Lonchura striata: one gene and its partner. The protein of the gene in region 2 interacts with the protein of the main gene of each other region in a biochemical or structural test. Links are inferred from orthologs where the notes say so. Each region holds a gene or a part of one and is shown on either strand. Other genes may lie near its edges.

Region 1 (7,960 bases), on a different chromosome or scaffold from region 2:
CTTGCATTGGCACTGAGAAAGGAAACACCTCAGCTTGCAGCAGAGAAGCTGCCCAGACGCCTGAGAATGTGTAATGGAAGGGCTGCTGTGTGCACCGGGCCAGCATTCAGTGACGCTCATGTTTTTTTACTAACTGGAGATTTAAACAACACAGAGGACTCTTGAGGAACACCAAGTCACCACTACCCACGCAGGTTGCAGTGCCACTGCAGGGGGTTAATTGGTGACATGGCACTTTACAGCCACTGTGTGCTGTTCAGGCTTTGAGCAAACAGCATCCAGCTGTGTGATTCCATAAACCACAAACCCCAGCTCCCCTCTGCACTGGTGAGGATCATTGCCTTTCCGAAGCTTTTTTTTTTTTTTTCATTTTAGTTCATAATTTATTGTTTTTGCCTTTTGGAGCATATCACTGCACCCACCATCTCCAGGTAGAGATGGGTCCCCAGCCTCCTATTTTGGAGGGTAAGGGGAGCTCCTGTTGGCAGGGAAGCCATCAGCCAGCCCTGGAAGGGTTCTGCACTGCCTGGCAGCCTGCTGGGGTGTAGATATGTTGGCTTCAGCTTGTCCTCAGCCTGACCTCGGCAAATACCCATTGGTTCTGCAAACGGAAAATATGACTCAACGAGAACCGTGGGCCCGGGATTGGCTGCGGAGCCCTGAAACTGCACCTGTGCGGGAGCCCGCGTCGCCTGCCATTGCTTAACCCTCTTCTTGCCAAATGTGATGCACATGACATCGCCTGTGCAACACGTTATTTCCAAATGAGCGAGACTGTGTGCAACGTAACATTTCAACAAATGTTTCATCTTCTTATGGGAGGGAAAAGCTGCAATAGTTTCCTTCAAAGGAATAGCTTTCTTTACGTGTCAACATATGGTTGTTTCAGAGGGGCAGCGCTGGTTAATTTTCTTATCACATTCGTAAAAAGATATCCTGAAGAATCATTAGCCCAGTTTAACAAAACAAACAAAATCCCTTTTCTTTTGCATCAGTAATATCACCTTACATTTTTATTGTATTAAGCACAACTCCATTACAGCTTTTACTTAGTTTTTTTAACATTGCTTGGGATAAGCAGCTAGTCAATAATCAGCTTTGCTGTATTTCTGACTCTGCCACGTGTGATGAAGCACCGCAAGAGCACAGCACTCCAGGGGAATACTGAATATTTCCCTAATCTAAATTTAACAACTAGATTTTATGATTCTATCATCTTCTCTATGAACCTAGGCTTTAGGCTAAGTTTTACAAAAGTGATTTTCTTTGATGCAGGATTCCCAGAGCATTATTTAACCATATCCCACCTTCCCTCCTGTGTGTGCCCACAATCCACGGGCACAGGGGGCATGGGAAGCACAGCAGTGGAAGTGGGGTAAAAGCCTCAAAGGGTTCAGCAGCATCACTCTCATCAGCAGAGTGGTTCAGCAAGGAGACCCTTTCCAAGTGCTGGGGCTCCACCGTGGGTCACAAGGCAACTCTCCCGAGGAGAGACCAGAGCTCCAGCTCCTCACATCTCCTGCTCCCCCAGCCAGGCTGCTTCCTCCTCCCGGCACAACACCTCAGCCTCCCCCCTCTCCCTCTCTGCCTTTTATTCATTTGATACTGAATGAGTGGCACACATGACATCTTCTGGCGCTAACGAGCATCTGAACTATCATCCCTTTGTCTGCCAGCGGGTTTCAGTGAACTTCTGCTGAATGAGAGGAAGCTCCCGGCGAGCTTCCTCCCTTTCATCAGTCAAGATCTAACTAAAAGGGAGTGCGCACCGCTTAGATCCGTGACCTACTACACACACGTGATGAGGACCTACTCGGATTGCTCGCAGGTGATGCCCGGCTGACGGAGCTGTTTCCACTCCCTGGGACGCTTTTTGTGTCTCTGGATGTGGCATTCCTCCCTCCCCACTCACCCCAGGGCTGGCTGCTGACAGCCACTTACCTTTCTTCATTAGAGAAGACAAATTTCCTGAGCTTGAGGTCACCAAGTACGATGGCTGACTGGTGGCAGTGAGCTACAGCAGAGACAATCTGTTTGAACAGCCGGGCAGCCTCCTCTTCCCTCAACCTCTTGCAGCTCCTCACATAGGAGTGCATGTCCCCAAAGTCCTTTTCAAAGAACACATAGGCCTTGGTGTCCCCGAGAATGACTTCGACAACCCCGGTGATGTTTCTGTGTGACGGCAGCTGAATGTAAGGTCGGATCTTGTCCTGGTAGTGTTTGAGAGGGAACACCTGTATAGAGGAAATTAAACCCGAATTCATTCTCAAGGGCGTTGAAAGCTGCAGCTCGCGTAGCAACTCTCCCCAAACAATGACGAGGGAGCTGGAGGGAAGCCAGGGCTCGGCAAGACCGGCAGAAGCGGCTACCGAGACCCTTCCTGTTCGTTGTAAATTGAAAGGCTGTGGGGGGAAACTAAACCAAACCACCATTCCCACAGCCTTTGGGGGGAAGGCGCCCCGAGGTAAGTCGGAGTCCCAGCTCACTCGCAGGGCGTGCAAACGCCGCCGGGGGCTGGCCGGGCGCTCCGGCCGGGGAGCAGCGGGAGGATGGATGTTCGGCAGGGCTGCGCCCGGGCCGGTGGTCGGGCGCGCCGGCAGGACCCGCTCCCACCCGCGCAGCTCCCGCTCACCTTGCAGCGCAGCTCCCGGCCCGAGCTGACGCTCAGCGCCCTGGACACCTGCTCCCGCTCGGCCAGCGGCAGCAGCAGGTACGAGGCGATCAGGCTGGGACCCGCCGCGCCGCCGCCGCCGGCGGGAGAAGCGGGGGCACACGGCGACCCGGGAGCGCTCAGGCAGTCCGGGGGGCCGCACTCGGCGAGCCGAGGGCACTTGGCGGCCGGCGCTTCCTCGGCGGGGCCGTCGTGCAGGGGCTGGAGGCGCTTGGCCGGGGCGCTGCGGCAGCGGGCGGCCGGCAGCAGGGACGCGGGGCGGCTCATGGGGGGAGCGGAGCGGCTGCGGAGCTACAGGCGGGCGCTGCGCGCTGGGCGCATCCCTTCGCTCTCCCCGCCGAAACCTCGGGCTGTGTCCACCATCTGCTGCCGAGTCCGCGCTAAAGTAGTTGGAGGCTTTAAAAAAAAAATAAAAAAAAAAAAAAAGGTGATTCTCCTCCTCCTCCCGGCCTGACGCACGGGGAAATGGGAGGAGGGAGGCTGGGACACGCCTGCTCCGCTCCGCCCGGCGCTCTCCGCGCCCCGGCCCTGCCGCGGACCGGGCGGGGCGGCGGGGGACCCGGCGGGGGTCTCGCCGCGGGACTTGCGGGGCGGCAGGCACCCCGCCTTCGACCTTAAATATTTGTGTCGAGAAAGCGAGGCCACCTTCCTTTCCAGGATCTTCTCGCCCATACAATTGCAGGTTCCCAGCCCCAGTTCTTACTTTTCACTAATCACTAAATAACCATCCCTCACCCCAAGGTTTGCATCACAACGCTGTTGTATGAGCATAAGCGTTTACTCATAAGCGTAGACGTAACGTGCACCATCAGAAATACTTGGCACTGGGTGTTTCCCATGTTAAAACTTTATCTGTCCGAAAAAGGAATAGCTCGGAGAGCCAGGCAGCAGCCAGCAGCTGAAGTGACCTGTGAGGAGCAGACTGAGAGGAGCTCCACAAGGCTCAGTAGTGTGGCTTTAAAGCAGTAGTAAATAGACTGGTAGTAAATGGAAAAAATAAATAAAAAAAAAACAATTTAAAAAAAAAAGAGACAAAACCAGACAACAAATCATCCCTGGGGAAAAAAAAAAAAAAAACAGCTGTAGTTTTGACAAGAAATGCTTCAGAAGGAAACTCTCCAGTTTTCTGTTTCTATATATGCAAATTTTCTGCAATTTAGTGCTGAAGCTTCATATTAACACAGGGACCCTGTGTTTTGTTACTCAGTAGGATCAACTCCTATTCTGGTTTGGTTTCCCCAACCCAGATCTGTACAGGAGGCAGAGAGGGCTGAAGATGGGCCCCCCAGCTCTGAAGCCCGTGATGCCACGCGTGCAGGTATTTGCTCAGATTCCTGGTAGATAACTGCACAGCAAACCCATGCATGCCTTCAGCTACTTCTAGTGTATTTTAAGAAACACATGAAACTCTTGTGCAGGATGACTCATAGCATAGCAGTCCCATTAATGCATTTAAACATAAAACGCATATGCCATAAAGGGCTATCCCAGGGCCTGCATTTCTTTCTTTTTTTTTCCCCAGAAATAAAATTCCATTAATGCCTGCAGATTGTTTCTGAGTGATTCACCACAACTCTCAAAGCACACTATTTTATTTGGTTCCTCTTATAGGTAAAACACATGCAAGTATCTATCAGACCTTTTGTTTTACTTTTCCCTTCCTGGAAGTTTAATGATTGGAATGCTGCTGCTGGGTGAATTTAGCTGGTAGGATGCCACATGTGTGGGCTGCTTCCTACATCTGAGACAGCACAAGGTGCAGCGGGGGGAAGGTTATCAGTACCTTTGGGGACAGGGGAAGGGTGCAGACAAAAACAAATGGGTGCAGACAAAACAGCAATGGACCTGCATAAAGGTTCTCATGGGCATTCGTAGTGTGTATCAGTGTCCCCTGTAGCTCCCTCCGAACTGAGATGCAGTGTGAGCAGGAATGAAGGTGTCAGTGTCCTCTCCCAAATCTCCTGTGTCAGCTGATTGTCCCTGCTGGGGAGAAGGGCCATACCGAGGATCTGCTGCATACACTGCTGGAAGCTGCTGTCCTTCATCTGCCCAGCCTCCCATCCACTTAAAACCTCTAAGTCCACCCCATGGGGACACAGTGGCACCTGAGCACAGTGCTTGGTTCAAGCTACTGGCAGCCAGCTGGGGATGGCACCCACTGGTCCTGAGGAAGGCAAAAAAGCACCTCTTGTCATCCTGGCTCCCCCAACACACCTGGCATGTGAGGAGAGCAGAGGTACACACAGCATTGTACCTCACAGTCCTGCCACATTCTCCTGGTGCCTGGGCAGCCTTTTCTCACAGGGTATGCTCTCTATGTGTGTCCCTGCTAACTGGAGCCCTAAAACTGGGTGTGCAGTCCCCAAAGGCCAGGAAAATATAACCCCTAGGACATTCATCCCAGAAACACTGGTGGGTGCCCTCTTCTAGTTGACTGTATAGACTAAACTACAGTTGACTGTCTACATGTGACTAAGAGAAACCAAAGCTTAAATCTCCCAGGTCTTTGGAAAACAGGTGAAGTTCTTGACAGAAGGAAACCTTTGTTGCTTCTTTATAGTGCCTGGCATGATGTCAGGTACTCAAAGCCTTAATGCCATGGCTAAACATATAGTAGCAAATATTACTCAAGTTAGTCTTATGTTTTGGGTACAGAACATAGGAAAAAGTCCACATCCAGACTCTCCTCCATCCCCACCAATTCAAGATACAGAGCAGAGAAGTGATTCCCACTTTGGCTTTTCTGGTTTTTCTAATTTTGGCCAAAATGAAAAAAAAAAAAAAAAAAAAAGAATGCCAAGGATGTTGTCTGATGACCTGCATGGGATGCTCTTTCTCAAAGGGCTGAACTGAAACTTGTCCTCCTTGCCCATCTCTGCCAGTGCTTGCATGCAGCCTTGGTGTGGTTAGGAACCAGTGCTGAGAACAGGAGCAATTCCAGGAAGAGATTTGTGAAAAACTGTTGCAACATTTCAGTATTGTAAGATTTTTGCAGAAAATGGAGCTACCACACTTGACATAGCAGCCTTGTGTTTGTTGCCATCACACCACTGGCTTTTAATCATGCAGACTTATCTCCTGCATTAGTCTCCTCCTGAAATCAAAAGCTATCTTTGGGGTATTCCTTCTATTCCCTGCACAAGCCTTCATCATTCCATCTCCTCGTTCCCCCAAAAAGACTTTTCAGGCTCTACTTGCTTAGTGTGATGAGCACTGTCATGGTAATTCCCAGTTGTGCCTGTGGTGAATTTGAGCCTGAATGGCTTTACAGCCCTTCAAAATGAACCAGAGCCATGTTACACATCTCCAGTGGACAGCACTGAAAATCATTGTGGAGCACAGATCAGTGCACAATTACAGTCCTAATGCTGGGATAAAACATTGACTCTGTGGATGAGTCCTGCTATCCAAGTGCCAGAAAAAATAAACTGCTGTGAGCCAGCAGAATACAAGGAACCATCACTCAGCCCTGGTGTTCCAAAGGGACTTGGTACCTGTGAGGTGGGCAGGGATGACCTTCAGAAGTACAGTTCAGTAGTCTTCATGCTTGGCAAAGGACAACAGTGTGCAACAGGCACCTTTCCCAATACTACCAAAGTCTGAGGAGCTCTCAGTCAAAGAACATTGCAAAATCTTTACAAAAATTAGATCCTGCCTTGGAAAAGGCCAGTCAAAGCAAGCAGGACTGCTTGCTGTATCCTCGCTTCCTGGAGTCCCAGCTGCTATGCAAGGATCTGGGACTGCAGCAGAAAAAAGAGCCTGTGGGATGTGTATCACAGAATGGGCACGTCCTAGCAGAGGGAAGGGTCTTACCCAGAAGAGATTTGCCAGAACTGTGGCAAGGTGAATATAGCTCTTCATATATTTTCTCTCTTTTTTGAAACAGACAAGCAGCTTAGTGCATCTGTGAGATGAAGACTGAAGAATCCAGAATTCCTGGTGCTCAGGCATTGATCCTCCCATTCCTGTTATTTTATTTAAGGGAATTTTTGTTATGTGGTTTTCAAGCATCTACCTGCCTTGCCCTCAGCCAGTGCTTACACTCACCTGAGCAGCTGCTTTTCCTTACATGCTCCCAAAATTATCACTGTTGCTCCAGTTCTCTGACCCTTTATCTCTATAACTAGAGCAGCCAGAGGCAATGAGAATTGTGTAACCATCTCCCCACTTCCCAAGTGCTTGGGACAGGTCTGGTAACTTTGATAGTATGTCTCATGGGACACACAGAATAAATCTCTATTAGATTAGGGCACTTATAAATAAATTGGCTGCTTGCTACAGAAAAAAAGAATGAAAAGGTCTTTATTTTAGTTAATGGATGAGAGAGGCAAGGAACACAAATATTTTGGCTAACATTAAACTATTGGTAAAGGATGAAAAATCAATACCTTTATTTTAAAAGTTATCTGAAGCCATATAATGAAAATTAACTACTGCTAGATTGAAAGCCAATAATTTAAAAACAGCATGTCATCTATAATCTAATGGTGTACAGAATTACCCTGCACAGATGGGGCTCAAAGAGTAGTCGTATGGCCAGGTGATAAAGAAGTAAAAGTAATGTTTTTTATAGCAGAACAGCATCTGTGATAACCCACAGCCATCCTCAGACACTGTGGAACTTGGCAGCAGATTAACCACTGAGATATAAAACACATGACAAGCACGTAGTGACATCAAAAGGAGTGCAATGTAATGGTGTTCAGATGTCTCCCCTCAAGCCCACACAAAGCTGCTCTGAGGGCTGCTGCAGCTCAGAACTCTCAATGATTCCCTTTTGATAAGCCTGTTGTTATCAAATCCAAGGAGTCTTATGAGCAGCACCTCCTGACTTTGTTCCTCTGCTAACTGAAGAGCATGAAGGCTTCTTCTGTTGCCTGAAAGACGTGTGAAGGTTCAGGTTTTAGACCTCAAATCCTGTTTTGACTTCAGAAGTTGATTGCACAAGCGGACAGTGAATGAGTGTCTCCGTTTCCCTTGCGGTCAGAGAAGATCCTATTCATACTGAGTTTACAAGCAAACACTTCCTTTGGTAAGCTTCCCGTGCAATTCAATTCATGTGCGTGCTTTCAGGCTCTGTCTTTGGGTCTGGACTAACATCAGAACAAGCAAGAGAGGCAGGCTCTCTTCTCAGCCCACCACAGCCTTTTCTGCAGTGCTTTGAAATGATGAAACACACTGTGTTTTCTGCACGCTGCTGCAGTCCTGTCAAGTCACAGTGATTATTCATGCATCAAGAGGCTAAGCACAGACATGGGTATCTACTGGATGATGTACACCCATTCCAGA
Region 2 (6,782 bases):
ACTGTGCTCTCACCGTCATGCTTTCAAACAGCTCCATCCACCTTGTTCTCCTCTCTTGTCAAGACTTACTTCAGTTGGACAAATTGTTATGCAGCTACAATACAAGGAAGAAATGTTCTGCATGGCTACCAGAATGCCCAGGGGGCCTGTTTGTTTGTTTATTTTTCTCTCACTCTGGAGAAGCTCCAGAGTCCAAAGGTGCAGCAGCACCAGGGACAAGCCTCCTTGCCCCACCACAGGCATTGTACAGCCTCACAGCCCATGCCCCGTTCCAGGCACTCCTGCCTTGGGGTTGGGAGGCAGCAACCAGTACAGGACACTGTGAAGAAGGCAACACACACTCACACTCATCCACCCATACAAATAATAAAATAACGTTGCAGCACAAGGGCATAGTCTCTGTCACCAGGTAAGAAAATTGGGTGATGGCAAAGATCTAAGTAAGGCAATAAAGTATAGCTAGTGTACATGGAACGGCTTTCACATTACATGAGGCACAGTTTGGGCAGACAGAGACTTGAAGAAGAGCTAAATGTCCTGGAATAAAGCAAAATACACTGAAAGTTCATAGTAAATACCCGCATCAATAGGTATTTATTCATTTGTGCTTCGCCACGTCGTGACATACAGTACAAGACACTGCTGCTCTTTCTTTGCATGGAGAGAGCTCACCATACTCTTGCAGGATGCTGCTCCATCAGTCCCAGGCTGTCCATCGGTCCTGCAGGGGTTCTGCCCCTTGTCCCCCTCCCAGCCAAGGCAGGGAACAGGGCTCGGCAGAGGCAGCCCAGCCAGGCTGTGACAGTCCTGGCAGCAGTCTGGTGGCTGCCCCACACCTCAGTGCTCCTAACGGGCATCCAGGGCTGCACATCCTTCAGCCTCAAATCCTCATCACTGACTTCCCCAGAGCTGCTCCTGCTTGTTGCACTGCAGGCCAGCTGGAAGGGGTCTGGCAGAACACCCCAGACACCACAACCCTCAAGCCTGCACATCCCTCATTCCTTCTTCTTGCACCCTGCAAGGCTGGAGGGCATAGTAAGCCCCAGAGCCCCTGCAGCCAGCTTTTAAGGCACATCTGGGTTGCTATATGTGCTTTATTACTGTTTTCGTTATTATTGTTATTATTATTATTATTATTACTGTTATTTACCCTGTGTAGACGCATGGTCTTTTAATTCTTTCGTCCCCTTGCCTTTCTCCTTAGAAAACCCACCATGTTTTCAGCTTACTCGTGTGTCATCTCTAAGGCACCAACCTTTTAATACTTGAGCTGCCTGGCTTCTTGTATAGGTCGTGAATTGATAAAAAACAAACAAAACAAAACCAAACCAAAACAACGCCCCACTCCCCTCCCGCCGGCACACCGCGCTCGCCGCACGCCGGTACAGAGTATCTGTGCGCGGGCAGGGCAGCCCGGCCGGTCCCGGCGCGGCGCTAGGCGCAGCTGCCCATGGCCTTCACCAGCGAGCTCTCGGGCAGCTGCCTGAAGATGCCCCGCAGAGTCTCCAGCTCCCGGGTGAGCTGCTCCACCCGCTTGCGCAGCCGCTCGTTGTCGGTGGTGAGCTCCAGCACCTTCTGCTGCGTCTCCACGTTGCGCTGCTTGGCCTTGTCCCGGCTCTTGCGCACCGCGATGTTGTTGCGCTCCCGGCGCACCCGGTACTCGTTACTGTTCTTGTCCACTGTCTTTTTCGATTTGCTCCGGTGGTCCGAGGGCATCATCTTGAGGGTGCCCGCGGCGGACAGGCCGCCGGGAGGGTGCGGGTGGTGCGGGTGGTGCGGGCTGGGCACGGGCGTGGGGGGAGGCGTGGGCTGCCCGGGCTGGAGGTGCATGGTGGTCTGGGCGCAGTGGGCGATCTGGTACTGGAGGTGGGACGGGTGCTGCTGCGGGGCGTGATGGGGATAGAGGGCCGACAGGGCCGCCGACTTCACCTCCTCCTCCTCGCGGGGCTCCTGCTTGATCACCAGCGGCCGCAAGCCCGGCGCGGCGATGCGCTCGTAGAGGGGGTCGAGCTTGCCGTCCATGTAGCCGGGCACGCAGCCGAAGAGCGGCTGCTGGTGGTGCTGCGGCTGGTGCCCCGGCGCCGAGGCGGCGGCGCCGGCCCCATGCATGGTGTGGAAGTCGAAATCCCCGGCCAGGATGGCCTTGGCTTTCTCCTGCTGCTTGCTGTGCTGGAAGAGGTCGGCCAGGAACTCGTCGTTGAAGGCGGCGGGGTCGATGTAAGCGCTGATGTCGATGGAGTTCTCGTTCTCGCAGATATCGCCGAGCTCCGCGCCGCCCGCAGCAGGTGCCGCCGCCGAGGGAGCCTCTCTGTAGCTGTAGGTGCTGCCGGGCAGGTGAGTCTGGAGCTGGTGGTGCTGGCCGCTGCTCATCGGGGGCCGGGAATCGACCTCGTAGAAATTGGCTTGCTCCATGAAGCAACTACAGTCTGCCGGGCATGGTGAAGGGCTCCTGCAATCCAGGTTTCGAACGGGACGGCGGCGGCTCTAGCAATCTCGCGGCACGGTGCTGCACGGCACGGCTCGGTGCTCCCGGAGCCCGTCCCCCGGCCCAGCCCCGCTCCGCTCGCTGCCTGCCCTGTTGCTAGTGGGCTGCCGCGGTGCTGCGTGCCGTATATATACAGCCGGCAGCAGGGCCGGGGATCGCCCTCTAGTGTCCAACCTCCTGCTGGGAACCTTTGACCGCCGCGCAGCCGGCTCCCAGCGCCCCGGCCGGGCACTGCCGGCCTCCCGCCCGCCCCCGGGCGCCGCCGCCCCGCGGGGAGAGCGCCCCGCTCTCCTCGGCCCCCCTTCCCCTGTCCCGCCGCCGCGCCGGGCTCGGCGGGCGCTGAGCGCTGGATGCTCCCGCCGAGGAAGCTCCGCGCTGAGCAGGGGCCCGGGGGGACGGCGCGGGGACTTTGTGCCGCGCTGCCGGGGCGCTCGGCGGGCAGAGCGGCCAAAAGCGCCGGTGCACTTTCACCGCCCGCTGCCGCCTCTGCGCCGGGAGCTTCGGCCCAGCGCTCCCCGGCCGCGCTTCGCACACAGTCTCAAAGTTCACCATCCGCGCATACTTGCAAATATTTGGCCAGTCGTGAATATTCGCCTGTCGGGTTTGGGAGCCAAGGCGCTGCCTCGCCGGCGGGGGTTACCTGCCAGCAGAGCCGTCGGGCTCGGAGCAGCCGGCCGAGGCCGACCGCGCCGCATTCCGCCGGGACCCGCGGGGCTCGCCCGGTCACAGCGGGACCCGCGGAGTCCGGCCCTGTTCGGGATGCCCCGGCGGGCAGGGTCGGAGAGCTCGGTGGCCGCGGCGGCTCCCGGCTCCGGAGGCGATCGGCCGGGCCGCCCTGGGTATCCGGCCGCTACCGCCGGTCCCAAGCCCGGAGGAGCTGCCCCGCCAGCGCGGAACAGCCTGAGTCGGGTCATCCGCGGTCCGCATCATTCCCCGCTCGAATCGAGCAGGTAAATTTAATGCCGGATTTCGCCAACCGCACGCTCAGCGATCTCGAGCAGTGCCGGGCACGGGCCGCCTCCCGGCCTTGACCCGGGCTAACGCGGGCGCAGCGCGGCCGTGGCCGGCTGTCCCTGTGCGCTGCGGCGTGTGCCCGGCCCGGCGGCCTGCCCAGACCCCTTCTCCGGGGGGCATCAATGTTCCCGCAATGCGGGGCTGGAGAGGAGCTGCGAGTCCCAGCCACCGCTTCCCTGTGCCTCCTGGGTATAGGTCAGAGTCTCCTCAGGAGCCTCCGTCTCAAGCTTCAGTTCGGGCGGGGTGAGGATGCACAGCACTCCTCTTGCTGCCATCACTCGCAGTACGCGAATAGATGTGTCTGTCCCTACTTGTACTGCACCCGGGTGCACCTTGGGCAGTCCCACGGGCATTCAGCTCTCCTGGTTCTGAGGGTCCCTTTGAAAGGACAAGCCAAGCCCACCTGGAGCAGGTGCGGGCTTAAGGATGCTACAGAAAGATCTTCAGGGAAAAGGAATCAAACATAGTGATGGCTGGAGAAAAAAAGATGCAATTCTTAGTTCGGAGTGTTTCCGTGAAAGAGAAACTTGTGACAGTAAATTCCTCAGAAAGGGTTTGACAGATTTCTTGCAATTAAAAATTCAAAGGATTCAACGGGAAACAAAAATGACAATGCACCAAAACGCCTTTTTTTTTTTTTTTTTCCACACAATGCAGGTGTGAACTTTTGTTTCATGAGCAAATGCTAGGCCAGCAGAGTCAGTTGGCACACTCCAAGGTCCTCTCAGGAGACTGGATTCTGTAATTACAGCAGGGAAACATTAATTTACAGATCACAGAGTATACTTTTCACTATCAATTGAAAAAAACCTAATCCTAAATTGTTTTATATGCAGTCAGTATTTTCTAAAATTATATGTCTTGGTTTCAATGCAGTAGCAGTGCCTCACAGGGCTGCTTCCACAAGGAGCTGCAGCACTGTCTAAACAACAAAAACACTCATAAGAACTCTGAACAAAATCCTGGATCAGAGGAAAAGCCTCAAGTCTGTGACAGGAGTGAGTCTTGGGTGTTTCAGAGTAGAGAGTAAAATGTCCCTGACTGTCCAAATTCAGCTTTTTCTACTCAAGTGAACCCATTTCCTGAAATGGGATGAACACATAGCTGGACATTTTGCCTGCTGGGAAAGATATCATCTGGAATAAAAGCTGGTAAGTAGTTTATTCTTAGAGTTTTCAAGAGGCCTTGTCTGACTGAAGTCGGCAGAAACAGGAATAGGCCATGAACATTTAAAACAAAAAGTCACTGCTGCACGAAACAGCAGAAAGATAACTAAGAAAGTGTAAGCAGAATTGTATCACTAAGCTTGTGATTTAATAACAATACCTACACCTCTCAAGTCCTTAAAACACTCTCACATTTTATAATCATTCTGAAATTAAGGCCTAACTACATGTTAAAAAAAATTAAAGTAAATCAGAACGTTTAGGATCAGATTCCATTCCTAATTACTGTAATTAACTAACAAGTCCCCACAATTTAAGGACTGGTTTGCTCAGTTTTGGGGTTTTTTTTTACATAGACCCCTTTTATCTAAGTTAAGAACTTTTAAAGTTTTCTATTTTTACTTGGAATCCTAAATTCCAGTTCAAATTATTTTAATATAGTACAAAATAATGTTCCCAGACTTACCAAAAAGACATATCTTTGTCTTTTTATTTTTACTCCCTGTTTGAAGACAAATAAAATATTTAAAACTGTCTCACCCTCAAACAAGCAGAAATGCTTATTTCCCCATTCATATCAACAGTGATTGATACTGAATACTTCAAATATTAAAGAGAAAACTTGTTGCTTAAGTTATACAAACAGGGAGCTGATTTAACTAGGAGAGGAAGGATGCATGTTGCATACCATGGCTCCCTGAAGCAGCGCTGTCAACTCTTGAGGGTGCTATTCTTCCATCCCAAAGCAGATCTTGCTGTCCAGAAGCTCAGGGAGGGCGAGTAAAGTGCTCCACAACTCAAACCAGCAGCGAGAGTCACCTGTGCCGAGTCAGCTGCACGCCTTTGTGCTCAGGGAAGGAAACATCAGACCAACATCACTGGGAAGGAACGTGACTAAGTGCATTTGTGACGATTAAGAGGTTTTAATTGCACTGAAACACTGAAGTCTCTTTATTTTTTCACCTGAACTCTGCTCCTGTGTTGTTCTCAGGCCTTTCAGTCCCGTGGGCTCCAGGATGAGTTACTGGCTGCAGGATGGAGCTCTGCCTGCTGATCCAACAGCCTGGCAGCTTGTGCACAGCATAGCATGTGGCAGCCCTGTTAGGAACTGCAGTGCAACTGCACATTTATTTTACTACCTTGTTAAACCAGAATATTTCATTGCTACTGACAAAGCTCCAGGCAGGAGTTTGCATGCAAAACTTCTTGGGGTGAATGGCAGCAACAGCCCAGCCTCTGCTCTCTCCCACCTGCAGGACTGGTGGGAGGAAAGAAGACCAGGGTGGGCAATGTGGAGCAGAAAGGATGGGACAGCTGTCGTGGGAGGGACAAGAGGTATTATCCTCACTGCTTCTTCCTGAGTGCACCTGGGGAGTAGCAGGGATGGAGCAGCAGTGGTTTCCTACGCAAATAAAGAGCTGGCAATCTACCATCTTACTTGTTGTGATACACTGAAACACAAACTTCTCCCCTCCCCTGTTGTGTTTTCTGCCCCAGGGAGGAGACACATGATACTGCACATAAAAGCTGCCACACATGACAATTTTCAAAGGAAAAGACTTTATATGCCAAAGCCTTGGAGGCCCGTAGATCAGAATGCAGCAGTGTCTGACAAGTCAACCAGAACCTTCCCTTCAGCTGGGAAAGGCAGCTGGGGACTGCTTATCATTTTTTAATGTGCATTTTGGTCCAACAACAGATGATTTAATGACTTTATCATTACAGCTTTTCTCCTTTGGAGAAACACAACTCCAAGGTGAACCAACTCTAATCCATGTTATTTTCCTCTTCTTTTTTTTTTTTTTTTTGTACCATTCCCCTTGTTTTCAGGGTGTCTAACAATTCTTGGTATCCTTCTGCTCTACTGACTCCTGGCTCTTCTACTGAGAGCTCAGTCCTTTGCAATTTCCAAGCTAGGTGACTGAGGGCATTTCTCATTTCCATTTACCTGATAATTGCTCACTTCCATTCAAATGATCCTCACAGCCCAATCTGTTTCCAGCTTGTCACCTGTAACCTTGCACCAATCAGTCTGTGAAGTATTTTTTATCCATTCACAATCTTTGCATGGTTAATGAGCCATTACATACACAGTTCCTCTCTTATAAATAGAACCA

What was found.
Region 1: the proteins of CEBPA (region 2) and TRIB1 form a complex in vitro, tested with the Homo sapiens proteins (2 studies listed by BioGRID and IntAct, with this or other methods). The link is inferred for Lonchura striata from reciprocal best matches to the Homo sapiens genes CEBPA and TRIB1.

What each region holds. Positions count from the first base shown.
Region 1 is NC_134603.1:11,725,233-11,733,192, forward strand, and holds the start of TRIB1 (tribbles homolog 1), read right to left. Parts: upstream 3,055-7,960; 5' UTR 2,939-3,054; coding exon 2,633-2,938; intron 2,235-2,632; coding exon 1,942-2,234; intron 1-1,941. UniProt on the Homo sapiens protein: Adapter protein involved in protein degradation by interacting with COP1 ubiquitin ligase. The COP1-binding motif is masked by autoinhibitory interactions with the protein kinase domain.
Region 2 is NC_134615.1:5,207,658-5,214,439, reverse strand, and holds CEBPA (CCAAT/enhancer-binding protein alpha), read right to left. Parts: upstream 2,723-6,782; 5' UTR 2,413-2,722; coding exon 1,435-2,412; 3' UTR 565-1,434; downstream 1-564. UniProt on the Homo sapiens protein: Transcription factor that coordinates proliferation arrest and the differentiation of myeloid progenitors, adipocytes, hepatocytes, and cells of the lung and the placenta.